Oryzias latipes: one gene and its partner. The protein of the gene in region 2 purifies or fractionates together with the protein of the main gene of each other region. This does not show direct contact. Links are inferred from orthologs where the notes say so. Each region holds a gene or a part of one and is shown on either strand. Other genes may lie near its edges.

The links. The genes of interacting proteins can lie anywhere in the genome.
Region 1: the proteins of l3mbtl3 (region 2) and samd13 purify together in Homo sapiens (affinity purification with mass spectrometry; 3 studies listed by BioGRID and IntAct, counting the BioPlex papers as one, with this or other methods). This does not show direct contact. The link is inferred for Oryzias latipes from reciprocal best matches to the Homo sapiens genes L3MBTL3 and SAMD13.

Annotation. Positions count from the first base shown.
Region 1 is NC_019862.2:9,304,468-9,308,326, forward strand, and holds samd13 (sterile alpha motif domain-containing protein 13), read right to left. Parts: upstream 2,705-3,859; 5' UTR 2,499-2,704; intron 2,480-2,498; exon of another isoform or gene 2,386-2,479; intron 2,133-2,385; 5' UTR 2,051-2,132; coding exon 2,023-2,050; intron 1,759-2,022; coding exon 1,716-1,758; intron 1,630-1,715; coding exon 1,518-1,629; intron 1,417-1,517; coding exon 1,273-1,416; 3' UTR 506-1,272; downstream 1-505. Other genes in the region: uricase, read left to right, coding at 96-179, 260-331.
Region 2 is NC_019874.2:17,836,547-17,840,747, reverse strand, and holds the start of l3mbtl3 (lethal(3)malignant brain tumor-like protein 3), read right to left. Parts: upstream 2,816-4,201; 5' UTR 2,164-2,815; intron 760-2,163; 5' UTR 736-759; coding exon 625-735; intron 424-624; coding exon 228-423; intron 75-227; coding exon 1-74. Other genes in the region: transmembrane protein 244, read left to right, coding at 3,315-3,347, 3,655-3,740. UniProt on the Homo sapiens protein: Is a negative regulator of Notch target genes expression, required for RBPJ-mediated transcriptional repression. It recruits KDM1A to Notch-responsive elements and promotes KDM1A-mediated H3K4me demethylation.

The DNA.
Region 1 (3,859 bases), on a different chromosome or scaffold from region 2:
ACAGTAACAAAATACAATTATAAGGAAATATTAGCATTTATATTTTGTTTTATTCTGTGATTGTAAAAATAGGACAAGATTTTTTTTCCTTCCAGGTGGAAGAAATAGAGATCGTGATGCCCAACCAGCATTATTTCACCATAGACATGACAAAAATGGGTCTCGTCAACAAAGACGAGGCAAGTCCTTCTGTGACTTTAAATGTTGGCCATAACAGAATGTATTTTTGCGGCTAAAGTGCCATTTTTCTCCTCATTAGGTGTATCTTCCTCTGGATAACCCCTCTGGGAACATCACAGGGACCGTATGCAGGAAACGAGCACGACTTTGAAAGCAGTTGAAGCAACCACCGAAACAAAAAAGTCCTTCTGAAACCATGTGGACAACAAACTTACTGTCAGCTCTCATGATGAGGATCTAATAGTTTAAGCTGATCTTGAATAAGTTTGATGTAAAATGAAAAAAAAAAAAAAAAAGTGCCCGCCAATAAAGATGTTTGCTGAAGTTGTTCTTTGGTGAGAAAAAAAGCACCATTTATTGCAAATCGTAGATTTGAATATTCAAACTCCAGTGTTATGTTGAACATGTACATAGGTCACACGCACTTTAAAACAGTTGTCTGTGCGACAAAGCTGAGAGCACCACAGGTAGGTACATCAGAGTATTTACACATAAATATCTCAATATCAAAAGCCTCAACCTTAAATTAGTTGCTGTGAATAACAAAGAGACTTTTGGTTGGGTGCTTGAGTCGGAGGAAAAAAACCAAAATGTGTTATAACATGCTCTGGACAACTGACACACACAGCTTCAAAACATAAAAACTGAATTTAAGACAAAATTAGACGCATCTGAATTCATTTTTCTGCCGGGTGAGACAGAACTTAAAGTTTGATATATACCATCTTATATACATAAAGGTCTTCTCATCACACTTTAATTTACTTTGAACACACACAAACACGCATCAATCATATCTGCAGAGTATACACCCTAATCGTCTTTCTTTTTAAATAAACAAACAAAACAAAACAAAAAAAACACACTTGCCAAGCAGCAAAAATAAGAATGGTTGAAAGGATCAACAGCATGTGCAGATCATTTTTAGGATCTACAGATATATATATATAAAAAAAAAAAAAAAAAAAAAGAAAAAGCTTACAGCATTCAAATTCTGTTAAGGCGCCACCGCGAACAGACGAGTCTTGGCAGCTAACCTGGGATCTCCTGGCATGATTGTCACTGAGGTGGGTCGTGGGGTGACCTGCAGTGCTATGAGGCGTTAATCTTCAGGTGCTGGGTTTGCAGCGGCTTCACGTGGTACTCGTAGATCTTCAGAGCGGGGCCCAGCTTTATCGACAGCCCCGTCAAGACGTCGTTACGCGTCATCAGCAGCAGGGATTTGCCGTCTATTTCCTGAGGACAAAACAAAAAACAAAAAATGTATCGACTTTGGGCTCTAATTTATAGGATTTCATTTTCTGATGAGGTTGGGGGGGGAAAAAAAGCCAACAAACCTGATCCTGGAAAGCAACAGCCTGCTCCTCAAACCCTGTTGCTTTGAAATAGTTGACAACATCAGCGACTCCCCAGTTGGACGGGTCTGGCAGCTGACCGTTCTCCACCGGGCTGTGGAGAAAGTTACACAACTCATGAGCCTAAAAGCACACAATGTTTTTATTTTATTTTTTCAAATGTATTCCAATAAGCAGTACTTTTTGCTGTCGACTGAGCCATTTGCCTTGTCTTCCATACCGGCTGCAAGAAAAACAAACATACTGATCATAAATTTGTAGGTTTAATTAATATTGCAAAGCAAAACAGTTTAAAAATAATTCAACTGGATCTCATCCCAGAAATCAAGTTACTAGTGTATAAAGGAGCTAATTGTAGCAGAATCGGAAGTGCCTGTAGGGGTTTCAGCAATACAGCATAAATCTGGAACATAAGTAACTTTCAGCCTCCTAATGTAAAGCTAAAACTCGAATTTTAAAGCAGGAAAAAAAAGCATAATTCACTTACATCCTGTAAAGCTGCAGGAATCTTTCATCAGAACTTCAGGAGAACTTACTGTGTGAACAGTTTGAACACCATCACTGCTGATCTGTTAACAGTGTGGAGTTGAGTGTCCGCTGCAAAAAACAGCCACATAATCCAATTGTTAACTATTAATGAAAAAGACTAAACCAATGCTGGTTGTAATCCTTCGACGACACTTGTCAAGAATGGAAATGTCCCACTTAAATTTACGTTTTAAATACATTTAAAAAGGGGGGAAAACTGTATAATATTGTGGTGATAAATTAAAAACTGCGCCGCCACGTCGTTTAGATGCACAAAAATATCCCGAATATATTTTAAAATACAACAAATCCACACGGTTACCTAACCGATGACAGATAGTTCTCGTTCCATCTTCGTGTTTTGTAATAACCCTAACGTTAGGCTAACAGGGATAGTTAGCATCGACTGCTGCTAATAAAAAATTTAACAGTTACCTTATTTTGGGAGATTCCACCTTGACAACAATTGCTCGTCGGGGCTGCACGAATATTTCAACAAAGAAAAGGTTTGTTTACTTATTCAATTATTAACCAATTAATAAACGGCTGTGTTTATTTGATAAAATCAAATTAAAATCAAGTAAAACCAACTAGCTGATTCGCGTTTGCTTCCTTCGCCCACGTCACTAGAGGATCATGGGAAATGTAGTACATATTCATAGGTTTGTGGTCGAAAATTCAAACTAACGCAATGTACGTTTAAAAATAAAGTTTAAATTAACTTCAAACAGTTGTATGTTTAATAAAAAATTTATTACTGTGACATATCCTTTGTTACATAAAAACTGCTACAGCAAAGAAAAAAATCCCCTTGCAAACACAGGTAAATATGGGTGGGAAAAGGTGTCAGCCATTGAAATGATGTGCAAAAAGTGTCACAAACAAAATACAGAAACAGTTCAGATTATTGATCCCATACTGGCACGTGTGGCTAGCTACAATATCTCATAAATTAAGTTTCCATTTTTATTTAGCACTGTAAAGTGGCTCTGGGAAAAGCTTCATCATTTACACCAAAACACACAGATGGGAAGAAGGAAACAGAAACACATTGCCTGTGGCTCTCATTTACTTCTAGCAGGAAAAAGGCATGATGAGTTGCTCTAAATATAATTTAATTTTTGACATTTGACAAAATTGTTTTTAACAATTAAAAAAAAACTTTTTTGATTATGTTGATTTCCAAGGAAAAGAAGAAATTCCCAAATATGTTAAAGTGGAGGCATTAATTCAAATTTAACATACATTTTTTCCTTGATCAATTGGTAAAAAAAAATAAACCCATTTGTTTAGGCTACTGATTCTAAAAAACAAAAACACAAAAAGCAGCTTACTTATAAATTAAACCCAAAAAGTAATGTTTTATTGCAGAAAATTGATAAAACGAGAAATTATTCTGTATACAAAATTAAACTGGGACTAATCAAACAAAATGTACTTTATTCGACCAAAAATATTTACCAATTGAGATAAAGCATTAATAACCCCAAACTCTATTTCAGTATTGATTATGACTGTTGCAAAAATGATTTAAAAAATACTAAAATAATTAATCTATTCCAGCATAACGTCTTCCGAAAAATTTCAAGATTTTAAACTAAAAATTGCTTTAAAACTTCAAATGTAAAAACTGTGAACTTTTGTCGACAAACAGAAACATGGATTTACGAACTTTGCCAACAATTAAAAAAAAAAAAGAGAGAAAAACCATGGAGATGACACTGTGCCCTTATAGGTATGGAAAATCGGAATACATCCTAGAAACGTGTTGATTTGTCATGCTGAAAAAGAGCTTG
Region 2 (4,201 bases):
TGTTTCTGCATTGGAACCAACGTCTGGACTGGGACCAACCTCCATGTTGGGGGCCTCCGTGCTGCCACCCTCCTCTAAAGACACAAACACATGACTAAACGCTGAAACACTGAGCAAATAAAAGGGGGATGCAGTGTCCAGAAATCACTATAGGGAAAAAAAGTGTATTCTACAAACTGAAAAGTGTAGTTCTTTATAAAAGTAATGTTTGACACAAGCTTTTATACCTCTAGTTTGAGTTGATCCTGTTTTATTCTGATTGGCTGGAGCTGTAGCTGAGCCTGTCTGTGATTGGGCCTCTGGTGGAGGGGTGGGAGTGTGAGATGGCGCAGGGTCCAAGGTCTCACTGTTAGACACGGCCTCCTGCCCTTTGACCTCCAGATCTGTGACAATCTCAAGAGTCCCAAACTCTGTCATGCGGAACTAAAGCACCAAGGGGGGAAAACAGCAACAGAAAAAACAGCTGATTGAATATAATGACCATTTTCTAGATAACATTGTATTTTGATTATTTCAATGGCCAAATTATCAAGATAATTCACTATATAAAACACCATGAGTTAAAATGATGACAATTTTTGTACAAAAAAAAAGACCAGAATGCAGAAAAAACCTGAACTGTACCCTTATGTCGCTGCCTGGCAGAGTGGCTATCCCATCTTTCCAGTCGAGGGCTCCCATCATGTCAAACTCAGCTCCCTGAGAGGCTCCATCACTGGGTGGAGTGTCAGTCATCCCCACTCCACTGATACGACCACCCTGTAACAAGAAACCACTGTGACAAAAGAAAGAAATGTGCAATGGAACCCAAATGCATAGAACCGATCAGCAGGACTAAGATGAAACATTTTATTGTGTTGTTAAAGTTGGACAGGGTTTTTAACACGAGAAAACAGCCGAAATCACCAAAAGCAGCTCCTCTCTGCACTTGTAAACAGCCTTACGCAACATCACCAATAGATGGCGACGGCGAGCCGGCTCGCCGGGTACACCATGCACTTCGATTTCAGACAAAAACAGTCAATAATAATGCAGTTTTACCGGCAAACTAAGGGGCAAATACGCGCACAAACGACCTCGTTGGGGTAAACCGTGACCAAGACCATTGACAAGCCCGGCGAAAAATGTCTCAACTTTAAATTAAACACACAAGTTCATCTTTTCCTTGTTTTAACAGTATCTCTTAAAGATGACTGTTTCCCGGGTGACGAGCAAGTAAGGCGGATATTTAGTCATCCATTTCACAGAGAACATTGTTTTCTGCACTCACTAGCCAAACTTAAAAACGTTTAAAGAAGTCTGTTATTCTGCAAAAACGTTTTAGTCTTGACGCATGTTCAACACCGAATTAAGGTGATATTTTTGGTTTGTGCCGCGGCAATAACCAGTGTTAAAGTGAACAACAATCCTAGCTTATGGATTGTTGGTCAAGTTTGGCTTCAAGCCGGAAACCTCAGTTTTATTCCAGCCATAAATAAAAGTGTCTCTAAGAGCGCCCATGATGATTAGCATTCGTCTTATACAAAATGGCGGAGCATTGGAAGAGGCCACCAACACGTTCAAACTATGTTAATTACTCAAGTTACCGGTTTAAACAAATATCGCAAAGCTGTAGTGCGTCAAATAAATGCAGACGTTTTCCGTGTAATTCCCAAGATGGTGTTTTTATTCACTCTGCTCATTTTTCTTCACTTTCCCCTTGTCACGGAATGTCAACCCAGCTTGCTACAGCAGCTAGTGCTGCAGCTAACAGTTAGCTAGCCCCCTCCTCCCTTCAGATGAACGGGTAACTGCTACACGGCTAGCCCTAGCATTGTGACTGTAAGCAGCCAGCTAAGGACGATCCGTAATAAATAAGTTTCCCACTTAATAACACCGGGAAAACGCCTTTGCGAAACGCAGATCTCAAACAAAATATTAAATGCACTCAAACAATAAGATCGTGCCACTGTTATAAGCTTAAACATTGTTGCTTGATTTATTTCTTCAATAGAAACTTGAAAAAAGAAACGATTTATTCTCGCCGTTTTGAATCAGAGTGGAAATAACGCAAACTAATGTTATTTATCAAACTAAACTCCGTTTTCCCCCTAAATTTAGCCCACGTTCGCGTCAATAAATAATATTTAAGGCCCGCAATGTTTTGAAAATTGTGGAACTCACCTCGTTTCTGTTTTAACTCTTATTTAGAGCTGGATAGACGATGCGCATGCGTGCAAGATGCGCTGCCTGACAACTTTGGGTCTCGGAAAAGTTCAATTTACTTTTAGTGGTCAATAGCAGGCACGCGTGCGCAAAGCACGCGCCCAAACCCCAGTTCGGTACCAGTATAATAATACTCCCAGCAGGATACGGGGGGTTCCTCTTTCCCCTTCCCACCCCGAACACGAACAGTCTATGAAGTCACCAAGAACTAGGAGTATCATAAAGCGCAGGACCGCAGCGCTCCATTAACCGTCGAGAAGCGTCTAGTTCCTCTGTGTTCAAACAGTTTACGTGCCCATTTGAACCACGTTACTCTCTGGCAGTACAGTCCGTGCTAATGCGCTCCGATTAGCCAAGTCTCCGTGTCGTATTCGAGCTAACATGCGCTAATGTGCGCAAAAATAGCGAAAGGACTACTTGAAAAAAGTCAAATGCATCACGGGACGGTGCACCGGTGCTCTTTAGTAACACTGTCGTTTCTGGCCGCAGTCTACGGCTATAAAAACGGACTTAAACATCCCATCCTCCTGTTTGTACAAGTACCGAACCTGACAAAGTAATGCACCAAACTAACCCCGGATATTAACAGAATGTTTGATTTAAAAGCCGCTATCACAACATTTCTATCATTGAATGCAGATTTAGTGATTTTAACTTGAAAAGCTCGATTTGCGCGGTGCGGTTTTGTTTGTATATTTTCAGTTTAAAAGTCCTGGTACTACTAAGACTTATTTATCCCGTGTTAGTACTAAATATTGAGCGGCTAACCCAGATTGTTTTGGCGTTTCTATTACCTTCTTTTTCATTTAGTAGGCAGCATTTTTACCCAAACTAATATTTCACCTACATTTTTGAGACGCCATTATATTAAATGAATATAAATCTGCACACCAAAAATACAGCTCTTGTTTTGTTAACAAAGGTCGCTCTGACACGAAATGAAATGAGTTCAGCTCGACCATAATAGCGGCGTGTAGCGGCGCCGCCTCTTGTCTCCTCTCTGCCGCTAGATGGCGCGCCGAGTCCAGTTTGTGAAGGATTAGCGGCGTCTGCTGCAGTCTGCATTTCTGCAATATTTTTCCAGTATAGCGTCAAGTGCAAATCATGAGATGGCATTCAAAGGCAAAGCGGTCGATTCAAAGGTAAGAGGAGGGCATCGCCGTGCTGTGCTGCGAGGCTGGAACACTTAAAATTATGTTTTTCGATTCTGTCTGTCGAGTGACAATAATGTATGTCAGATACTAACAAATTATATGACACAGTTGTGTTATGTGTTTATTATAACGCCAGGTTTACTTGTGTTATAGGCGCTGTTAGTGAAGCGAAGTCAGTCTGCTTTAACACTATGTTCTCTATTACAAACCGGCAGGTTTCTCACACCCAGGACGTGAAATTACATGCTTGACATCTTAGACTGAATAAATGACCATCTCGTGTGTTGTCTTGCAGACCGTGCTGCTCAATCTCCTGCTCTGCCTGCTGATATTTTATTCTCTTTTCTATATGATCGGGAGCGTGTGCTTCGGCGCGTTCAGGTGAGCACACGCGCATGCGCACTGCTGCTACACAGAGGAGAGCAAGTGAAATTGTGTTTTTTGGTGTTCAAAACTGCATTTCTGGGTATTTCTTTGTTCAAATCATTGTAAGCAGGAGCAGATGAAAAAATGCAGTTTTAAAAAACACGTAGCAGTGAAGTAGGTGCTTAAGTCGGGGGGCACAAATTCCATGCTCTGTTCCGTTCTGATGCATCCAATTGCAGACAAATAGATCACATTTTTTTGTTGCACTGCCAATGTTAAGTTGGGGTTGTGAGGGGCTGTAAGCTAGCAGGACAGAGTGTAAACAAATGGATGTTGGGAAACGAGGACAGGCTTTCTCAGCACCAACAGTCCTGCCTAGAACTCAGCGGTGAATGCTGCTCTGCAGAAACTATGTCCTAGAAAGCAACACACTTTTTTGTTGTTGCTAAAAACGGCATAATCATAATTGAAAGACC